3 linked regions of the Arabidopsis thaliana genome follow. The protein of the gene in region 1 purifies or fractionates together with the protein of each later gene. This does not show direct contact. Each region holds a gene or a part of one and is shown in the gene's direction. Other genes may lie near its edges.

What was found. Proteins that work in one complex are often made in the same cells at the same time.
Region 2: the proteins of rps18 (region 1) and AT5G56940 fractionate together in Arabidopsis thaliana (co-fractionation; one large-scale study listed by BioGRID). This does not show direct contact.
Region 3: the proteins of rps18 (region 1) and PRPS20 fractionate together in Arabidopsis thaliana (co-fractionation; one large-scale study listed by BioGRID). This does not show direct contact.

The regions. Positions count from the first base shown.
Region 1 is NC_000932.1:65,958-68,756, forward strand, and holds rps18 (ribosomal protein S18), read left to right. Parts: upstream 1-1,959; coding exon 1,960-2,265; downstream 2,266-2,799. Other genes in the region: petG (cytochrome b6/f complex subunit V), read left to right, coding at 41-154; psaJ (photosystem I subunit IX), read left to right, coding at 972-1,106; rpl33 (ribosomal protein L33), read left to right, coding at 1,531-1,731; rpl20 (ribosomal protein L20), read right to left, coding at 2,555-2,799.
Region 2 is NC_003076.8:23,029,171-23,032,970, forward strand, and holds AT5G56940 (Ribosomal protein S16 family protein), read left to right. Parts: upstream 1-1,576; 5' UTR 1,577-1,708; coding exon 1,709-1,841; intron 1,842-1,928; coding exon 1,929-1,974; intron 1,975-2,801; coding exon 2,802-3,030; 3' UTR 3,031-3,241; downstream 3,242-3,800. Other genes in the region: EMB1789 (CCCH-type zinc finger family protein), read right to left, coding at 1-118, 221-286, 364-1,106, 1,239-1,395; NAP1;3 (nucleosome assembly protein 1;3), read left to right, coding at 3,448-3,493, 3,576-3,619, 3,748-3,800.
Region 3 is NC_003074.8:5,114,256-5,118,174, forward strand, and holds PRPS20 (chloroplast 30S ribosomal protein S20), read left to right. Parts: upstream 1-1,765; 5' UTR 1,766-1,960; coding exon 1,961-2,150; intron 2,151-2,299; coding exon 2,300-2,460; exon of another isoform or gene 2,461-2,899; coding exon 2,900-3,157; 3' UTR 3,158-3,233; downstream 3,234-3,919. Other genes in the region: AT3G15180 (ARM repeat superfamily protein), read left to right, coding at 1-55, 226-323, 507-644, 753-800, 1,034-1,148, 1,260-1,357, 1,462-1,548; AT3G15200 (Tetratricopeptide repeat (TPR)-like superfamily protein), read right to left, coding at 3,234-3,919.

The DNA.
Region 1 (2,799 bases):
CTTTTCTCCCTTTCAAAAATGAAAACAAAAGAAAATTCAAATGATTGAAGTTTTTTTATTTGGAATCGTCTTAGGTCTAATTCCTATTACTTTGGCTGGATTATTCGTAACTGCTTATTTACAATACAGACGTGGTGATCAGTTGGACTTTTAATTAATTAACATCTCGTTTTTTTACTAACCTCCTTCTTGCTTTCCTATGCGGGAGGTCTAATTCAGACTGCTGCTCAGTAATTTGTGAACAGTGGAATTTTGATACAATCTATGAAATCACGCTCTGTAGGATTTGAACCTACGACATTGGGTTTTGGAGACCCACGTTCTACCGAACTGAACTAAGAGCGTTTTTCTTTTTTTTTTTTTCTAAAAAACGAAAAGGCTAGAAAGAGGGCATTCTTTAACCCGACTCGATTTTGTACGTATATACTATATCATACATAGTATATCATAAATTTCAGAATTAAATGTATGTCCGATAAAAAAAATTGATCAAAATAGATACCTCGTTACTGCTCTTCTGAGCAGTAATAGGTAGGGATGACAGGATTTGAACCCGTGACATTTTGTACCCAAAACAAACGCGCTACCAAGCTGCGCTACATCCCTTTCAATAGGTTTACAGTGTCATTGTAGAGAATTCCTGTCTTGTTTTCCACATCCTCCTTCTTTTTTATTGGTATATCAAATTCATTTCTTCTTTTTTTCTCATATCAGATAACAAAGATATAATTAAAAAATTTACTTTTTTTTTTTTTTTTATTCTCTCAATTTTACATAAATAGGCCTTTACGTTTTCAAATGGAATCGATAAGATCGTTCTAGTCGACAATATTAAAATTCTAATTTTGAAAGCGGGGGGACGGAAGTTACATATACAAATACAAGAACTTCTTAATTACATGTACATCTGTAATTATATATATTACTATATATAATGTAATACAATAAAGAAGAAAGAAGGAGGATTTCTAATGCGAGATCTAAAAACATATCTTTCCGTAGCACCGGTACTAAGTACTCTATGGTTCGGTTCGTTAGCAGGTTTATTAATAGAGATTAATCGTTTATTTCCAGATGCATTAACATTTCCCTTTTTTTCATTCTAGTTATTAACATCAGAAAGGGGTGAAAAATTTAGAGATACAATCAACAATCGGGGACTAACCCCCCCACCTTTTCTAATTAGTAGAATAAATTAGAAAAGGTGGGGGGGGGGGGGAAAGGTCATAAAAACGAGGGTTCAGGATCCAATGAAATTAGTAATAGAACGAAAAAAAGTGTTGCTAGGGAACCTATCAGATACTTAAAAAAACTACTGTACAAAGATTTTAAATATAGTTTTCACAAAATCATAAATCATTGTATTACTTATTTTTTTTATTTAATTACTAATAAATAAAATATTAATTGTAACGAAATATTTCAGAATTTTTTTTAGTTAACAGCTTCTATTTTTTTTGTTCTTGTTCTTTCTGGATCCTAAAATTAAAATAGAAGATTGAGGTGAATCATAAATCCAAAGGAGGTTTCATGGCCAAGGGTAAAGATGTTCGAGTAACAATTATTTTGGAATGTACCAGTTGTGTTCGAAATGATATTAAGAAAGAAGCCGCGGGAATTTCCAGATATATTACTCAAAAGAATCGGCATAACACCCCTAGTCGATTGGAATTGAGAAAATTCTGTCCCTATTGTTATAAACATACAATTCACGGGGAAATCAAGAAATAGATCAAATTGAGTGCTTGTATGTCAACTTTTATTTTAAGAACAGGAATAATGCTAGTATCTATATATTATTACATATATATAAATATAAACAAATAAATCAATAGAAAGAAATCTAATCCGATATTCTTAATTCTATATAGAAATTCTATCCTATATAGAAATAGAAATCGTTTTTATTTTGATCCGATCAAAATAGGATTTTAGAGATAAGGAATAAAAATAAAAATTATGAATAAATCTAAGCGACTTTTTACTAAATCCAAGCGATCTTTTCGTAGGCGTTTGCCCCCGATCCAATCGGGGGATCGAATTGATTATAGAAACATGAGTTTAATTAGTCGATTTATTAGTGAACAAGGAAAAATATTATCTAGACGGGTGAATAGAGTGACTTTAAAACAACAACGATTAATCACTATTGCTATAAAACAAGCTCGTATTTTATCTTTGTTACCTTTTCTTAATAATCAGAAACAATTTGAAAGAAGTGAGTCGACTCCTAGAACTACTAGTCTTAGAACCAGAAAAAAATAGACTTATTTTTCAATTGAATAACAATTCCAATCTGAAGGAATTAAAAAAGAGATTAATGTTTTGTTCAAAAAATCCAATCAAGAATAAAAATTTGATTGTTACGTCTGTGTCTATTATAAAAAAAAAAAGAAAAGAATCGTCGAAAAGCATAACTCGTTTTTTCGAAACTATATACTCTCGTTTTGTTTTGACGACTTTTTTTTTAATACTAATTTCTACTCTACCTTCCCCGAGCTCATTCTCCTTAGAACTCTATTTCAAATATTTTCGTGGATTTCTTCCAATCCCCTTATTTTTTTATGTCATTCGAAATTGTATAAAGACAACTCCTATTTAATAGAGCTATTTGTGCAAGTATTTTCCGATTAAGAAGTAATTGCTTCTTGTATAGATTGTGTATGAATTCATTATAACTATAGAATACCCCCATTTCGTGAATTACGGCATTTATTCGAGTGATCCATAAACGGCGAAAATCTCTTTTTCTTTTACCCCTATCCCGATGAGCCGAAACTAAAGCTCTTATTCTCTGTT
Region 2 (3,800 bases), on another chromosome or scaffold:
CCTTGAGATAGTGTCGACAATACTTGATAGGCTTTGGTTTTGGAGCTACTGGTTTCAGTTTCAGCTTTTTCACGCCAAGGGCTATACGCTCTTGAGCTCTTTTTATCCTAGCTTTTGCCTGCATGAAATAGCTTATCAGTAAGTAAACATCTTACTCCACACACAAAATGATTGTAAGATATCCCCGTAATATGTCAAAGAAATGCATACACTACATTACCCTCTTTCTGGCTTTTGCATCCTTAGAAGGCGCAGACCTTTTTTTGATGGAGGTTCCAGGATCCATCTGCAAGTTAAAATACAAGTCAGATTTTATTAACACCTAAGCAACATAACATAACAAGATTCTTTAATATTGGATACCTTTGCTTCGTTACTGAAAGTTTGATCAATCTTCTTGGCTTGATTATCTACATTCATTACCTCAACACCAAAACTCTTATGACTAGTGAGATGGCTATTACCAGTTCCATCTTGTGAGACCTGATACTCCTCATGTCTTTCGACTGTTTCATCATCTTCTACAAGCATATCATCATTATCATCCCCTGATATCTCTCCTTCTTCTACATCATCACCTCCAACTATCCGAGACACAGAATCTACCAAAACCGGACTATTATCAACAGGTTTCTCTAATTCCATCTCTCTTTGAACTGTTCCATTACAAGCTTCCAAAACTCCAGAACTTATAACCTCATTAGATTCAACAGATTTAGGAACCTCCTCTGCCTTTTTCTCACTTTCAACTGGATCTACTTGAACTTGAGTTGCAATATTAGGCTTCTCCAGGACATTTTGGACAATGTCATAGTCATTCACATCCAATGCCTCAAAGAGATTCACACAACTTTCTGGAACAGAATCTTGAGTTTCATTAATCATAAGCTCAAAGCTATCGAAAAAATCTGTGTGTCTACTAACAACAGATGCATCTTGCAAGTCAATTCCATCACAAATATCTCCAAGCATCAAACTCTTTTCCTGTGAAATTGTTTCCACCTTCTCACCACTTGAATCACCAGACACTCCATTGAGTTTTGATTCCGTAATTGATAAATTCTCCGGCGGTTCGCAAGTTTCTCCCGGAGACTCTTGAGCAATTTCTATGTAAGAAAACACAAATAGCATCAGAAATAGTTTCAGGCAATTTCAAGCAACAGATGAACTTTGAATTTTGATTACTAGAAGATGAATTAATCATTCCTAAGAACTTTGACTTCGAATCGAACACTGACCTGTTCGTAAGACCAGCTCCTGGAGAACTGCCGGTGTGGCAAGAGAAATTTGAGGCTCCCGATCGAAACTCGAGCAAAAGTGATAAAGCAAAGAGCGATAATTTCGATTCGGCAGATGCGTGCGTCGGTGAGGAAACGGAGCGACGGAAGATTCCATTGTCTCCGCCGGAGAATAATCTCAACCAGTACCGATAGGCTCAACTTCGGCTTGTCTTTCGCCGGAGAAAGGCCGTCTTGTGGCGGTGGACGATTTAAAAATCTTTATTGGGCTTGTATCATCTTTGATGTTAATGGGCTTCCTGATTTTGTAGGCCCAATGAATCCTTCAACAAACGGCGTCGTAATAAGGATCCAAACCCTAAAAGATTTATGGATTCAGAGTTTTCGAAATTGGAATTTCTCACTCTCTCTATCTCTCTTAGCCAGCTCTGATCATTTCGATTTTTTTCCGGTGAAAAGGGAGGAGAAACATGGTTGTACGTATCAGACTGTCGAGATTTGGATGCAAAAATCGGCCATTTTTTAGGGTTATGGCTGCTGATAGCAGATCTCCAAGAGACGGGAAGCATCTTGAGGTCTTAGGTTACTTCAATCCTTTGCCAGGTGATTGACAAAACAAAATGTATTCCAATTGGTGTTGTTCGTAGAGTTTTCGATTAAAATACACGATCTCTTGGTCTATGTGTTCAGGCCAGGACGGTGGTAAGAGGATGGGTCTCAAGTTCGATCGAATTAAGTATGTTTCTTCTCATCTAATTCTCTAGTTTCTTATGTTTTTTTCGGTAAAATCAGGTAGGTTTTGGGTTGAATTTACTCAGAAAGAGGTCTCTGAATGCTTCACTAGATGATTAAGGCTTTTCTGCATTTGAAGTGTTTTGGTTAATTGCTAAAGTTAGCTTCTAGCCGCCTCTAGATATCTTAATGCATTGTTGTATAGTCAACATTGTGTTATAGTTAACTATCTTTCGATCTGATACAAAGGAGCTGAGTTCAGTCTTTGAATGGTTTTTGTTATCGAAAGGCGAATGAATCTACATGTTTCCCATGGTTGGTTTTGATCACTTTCTTTCTCTTCATGGTATTGAACCATTAGTTGAAGCAATTTTCTACCTCATTTAATCACTAACTTATGAAAGGAAAAACTGAAATATTTGTGGAAATTCATCAACAAGTTTTGTTATATAACAAATGAAACTTCTCCGCCAGTCTTGAGTCTTTCTATGGAACTTCTGCTCTGAGTTCTGGAATTGTTTCTTATTAGTGTAAGATGAAGAACCTGTTGATTATCTATTCGTATACACACTTACTTACATTCTTAATTGTTCACCATATACAACCTCTTTTGCATAATTGTATGGTCATGTAGCTTTAGAATCTTGTCATGCTCTTTATCATCATCTAAAATTAAGATTATAATGTCCGGATATTAGAAGAACACATGTCAAGACTACTTAAAAGTTAGATCCTGGTCTGTCTTTCTTTTGTTCTGAATGACTAGTTTCAACAGAGGATGCATATAGTTTGATTAATGGACATTTTGTTTGATTCTCTTGTTCTGTACAGGTACTGGTTATCTGTTGGTGCTCAGCCATCAGACCCGGTTCAACGTCTCCTATTCAGATCCGGTTTACTTCCTCCTCCTCCAATGGTGGCTATGGGACGTAAAGGTGGAGCACGAGACACACGCCCAGTTGATCCGATGACTGGTCGCTATGTGGATGCAGAGAATAAAACAGTTAATGCCAATGATAACCAGCCTAAGGAAGAGGATACAGAAGCCAAGAGTGCATGATTCATTAGCCTTCTGTCATCGTAGCTTTTCAAGTTCACTTTGTTGTCGATTATATTGTGTAATGCAGCATTAGACAACTGACTTGTTTCCTTTGTTTGGCGATAAACGGCAAGGTGTTTGGCACTTTTTGCAGAAACGGCACATATTTTGCATTGGGATATTTTAGATTTTAAAAAATGAAAAAGTAAATAAAAATGCCAGCGAGGGAATTAAAAAAAAAAGAATGGCAGTTGTTAGGTTTAAATTTTATAAAGGAGGAAGCCACGTTTTGCGTTTAGTCGCCACCCAGAAAAAACCCTCAAGTCTTCTTCTTCTTCCTCAATCTCTCCACCTCTTTTCAAACCTTCTTCACACTCTCTCTCAATCAATCCTTTTTCTTCTCAAATCTTTCAGTTTTGATCTCTAAATTTCCAGAAAATGAGCAACGATAAGGACAGTTTCAATGTCAGCGATCTCACTTCTGGTAAATCTATATCTCCGATTTTGTTTCTGCGGCTTTGCTTCTTCTTAGTCAAAGTTTTAGAAGCTTTTTTGTTTGTTTGCAGCTCTTAAAGATGAGGATCGAGCTGGTCTTGTCAACGCTCTTAAGGTGAGTTTCTCTATCTCTTCTTATATCGATTTGCATTATACTTGAAGAGGAACATGTAATTTGGGCGTTTCGTCATTTTATAGTTTCTGTGGAGATTTTTTTGTAACTGTTATGTGTTTGATTCACAGAACAAGCTCCAGAATCTAGCTGGACAACATTCTGATGTGCTCGAGAATCTGAC
Region 3 (3,919 bases), on another chromosome or scaffold:
AATGATACTGATGCACAGGAAGCTGCCATTGATGCACTTGGTCAGATGGGATCAAGTAAGTGGGTCACTTTTCTTTGAAACTTTGTTTGTTGCAGTCGTCTTCTAAAAGAGATAGCTAGAGAGGCCATACATTTAGAATTATGAATTATAAGAGCATCCGACAAGATATTCGTTTCCCATGCAATGATCTTGTAACTTATATGGATATTTTTACAATAATCTTAGCAACGAAGGGAGCGGATCTTGTCCTTTCAACTTCACCTCCAGCTGCAAGACATGTTGTAGCTTCTGCCTTTGATCGTAATGCACATGGAAAACAGTTGGTTAGTGTGTTTTTGCTTCTCATCAATTGAAATTCTGCCGATTATATGCTCTTACTACATTTTTGAAGATCCAATTTTTCCAGTTTTAGGATTTCTAATTCTAACTATTGAGGGTTGAAATTTTGCTTCATTAGTAGAGACATTCATGAAATTATATGATTGTTTCGTAAATGGCATGTGCAGGCTGCACTGCATGCACTGGCAAACATCGCAGGTGAAACACGACCTAAGAGCAACAGAATAGTTGATGGAAAAGCTGAAGAAAGCCTTAGATGTTTGATATACGACGCTGCAGCACAGAGCACAAAACTAACCCCATCCGTAAGTTCGTTTCCTCTTTTACTTATTCTTCTCTCAGAAGTGTGCAGATTACATATTTTTGTTTGATCCGTAGCATGAGCTAATTTAAGCATGTCGCACAAATTGCAGGGTTTATTCCTCTCAGTTCTTCAACAAAGCTCAGAGATTCGTCTTGCGGTAAACCTTTAACTCAGCATCTGATCTATCATATCTTCTCCCCCTTTGTTTCTCTAGTTGGAAATTTCAAAATGACACACTACATTTCATTCAAAATTAAGAAATCTCTTTTGTCCTTCTACACAAAACTCGGATACATGTCACTCATTTGATCTCACATAAGACCTTCACGCATTGCCTAGAGGTAACTATGTTTTTTGCTTATAGTATATTGTTTACAATGTTGTTTGCAGGGTTATCGAACGTTAACAGCATTAGTGGCTCGGCCATGGTGCCTGGTGGAAATCTTGGCCAAAGAAGAGATAATAAACATAGTTACGGATGCAACCACTGAAACTGCAAAAATAGGTAAACCAAGTAACATTCCTCGCATCACCCACACTCCAGCCATTGTATTGGCTTCTTCCTCCCTCAACCTCTTTGATCTACGAGTCTAAATCTCATTTTTTTTTTACTCAGCAATGGAAGCAAGGTATAACTGCTGCAAAGCAATTCACGAAGCGTTCTTGTGTAGTAACTTTGTTGATGACCCTCGTCGTCTAAAAACCGGTGACAAGGTTCCATACTTTTCCTCTGCGCTCTTTAAGATGGAAGTTTCGAAAAGGCTTTTCTTTGATGTTGTACTTTTACTTGCTGATGACATGTTTGACATTTGTTGCAGTTGCAAGAAGCTGTTCGAAGTGGACCATATATGTCGAAGAAGCACAGAGGCGCACGACCAGAAGTAATGACAGGCGAAGGATTTTAAAGACAACTAAAGAAAAAAAGTTAAAACTTCTTTGTTAACCAAAGTTTTTTATATCTTCTCTGGCTGTTCGATAAGTAAACTTTAGTTCTTTCTATAAACAACGAAGGCTAGGAGTAAACGTTTTGGCGGTTGAAATTTGTGTTCTTTAATTTTTAGTGTTGAACTTAATCAAAGAAAAAAAGGAATAACGAGTTTGGTCCGTTTCTCATCGTTTGCCATTAGCCCACGCGGGAGATCCAAAACACTGGGCTAAACTGGAGTTAAGACGATAAACCAAGGGTAATATAGTAATTGCGTTTCCAGACATCATCTCTTCCTTTATGGATAACACTGGTTCGAAATGGAGCCATTACTCTTTACTAACAGAGGGAGAAAGAGCAGAGAAGAGAGAAGAGGAAGCTTGTAGAAATCGATGGCGACGATAGTGCAGTGTCTTTCTTCCTGTGCGACCCTCGAATCCCAATTCAAAGTCCTTTCGCTTAAGGGAATCTCTTGTTCGTCACCATCTTCTTCCTTCTCCAATCGTCGTGGTGCTTCGGCTACCTTATCCTCTTCCCTTAGCTTCTCTCAGAGCGTTTCTCAATGCGTCGCCTTCTCAACCGGTAAACCCTACTTCAGAATCGTGAATTTCATCCTGGTCATGGAGAATTATTGAAATGTTATCGGCATTTTGAATCCATTCGTTTTCTTATGCTTTCGCTAGTGTCAAAATTTTAGGGGTTTTGGAACTGAAATATACATGTTTGGACAGGGAATTTGTGGGTACAGAAGCCAATGAGGCAATTGATTGTGTGTGAGGCTGCTGCTCCTACCAAGAAAGCTGATTCAGCTGCAAAGAGAGCTCGCCAAGCTGAGAAGAGGCGTGTTTACAACAAATCTAAGAAATCTGAAGCCCGTACCCGGATGAAGAAGGTAATGTTGTAAACTTCATACTTTCTGTGAAAATATGTTGGAGTGCTTTTGAAAATTTGAGCTTCTGTTTGAAGATAGGATACAAGATTGTTGATAAGCTTGTAATGCTGTTCCTCTGAAGTCTTAGTGATAAGTTAGGTGGAAATATATCAGGGAATGTTTCTCCTTGTGAATTCTTGTAGCAACCTATGAACAACACTGAACATTGGAATCCAAGTAGGTGGATTAGTTATCATTGTTTGCAACCGATTTATCGAAAAATGGAACTCAAGTGGAAGCTGTTGAGACGGTTTCATGTTGTTATTAGAACTTGGGAGAACTTTAAAAGTCTTGATAGTTTAGAACATCTCATTATCCTCGACAACTAAGACTTATAAATGTTGTAAGTAACTTTTTTACATACATGCAAGATGAGAGTAAAATTCATTTGAGTAAACAGGTCTTGGAAGCACTTGAGGGGCTCAAGAAGAAAACTGATGCGCAAGCTGATGAGATTGTGACGGTGGAGAAACTGATAGGAGAGGCTTATTCTGCAATTGACAAAGCAGTGAAGGTTAAAGCACTACACAAGAACACTGGTGCCCGTAGGAAGTCTCGATTGGCTAGGAGGAAAAAAGCCGTTGAAATTCACCATGGTTGGTACGTCCCAGACGCAGCTGCTGCAGCACCATCAGAAGCTGTGCCCATGGCTGCATAAGAACATGGGGATAACGGAAATTTGTTTTTGTTACTAGATCTTTCAAAATCAAAATCTGTTTCTTTATAATGTACATTTAGTCGCTTTCAGACTCTTCGCTTGTTAAGTTCGATCTAAGCATTTTGTCTTCTACTCTTGGCTTGGTCTTGTTCTGGTTCAGTAACATCTCAGTTCTTGGCTCTGGTACCATTCCTTTTGACATCATCTCTTGAAAGTAACTCAATGCTTCTCCAATTTTCCCCTTTGTGTGCAGACCATGAATCCTAATAGTATATGTTCTCTGATCTGGTCCTAATCCACTTCTCTCCATCTCACTCCATATCTCTCTCACTTTCTCTTCCTTGTCCCATTGCACATATAACCTAAACATCAAATTGTACAAATCGCTTGTCATTTCACACTTGTTCTTTGCCATCCTTTCCAAAACTATGTCAACATCCTTCGATCTCTGCGAATACTTGAGCAAGTAACTGAATGTCACATCGTTAGGCGAACAACTACCACCTTTAAGTTCCATCTCTTCCACTAGCTCCCAAACTTTCTCAGTTCTCCTTATCTTGCAGAGATGCTTCAAAAGTGAGTTATACGTCACAACATTCGGGTCGGGACCTTTCTCACTAATCTCCCTGAATACTTCAAGAGCCTCAGGGATTCTCTTCTTGAAACACAAAGCATCAATAACGTTATTGCAGATTTTAACATCCGGGTTTCTTCTGGTGTCCCACATTGCTCTGTATAATTCCATAGCCTTTCCCAATTTCC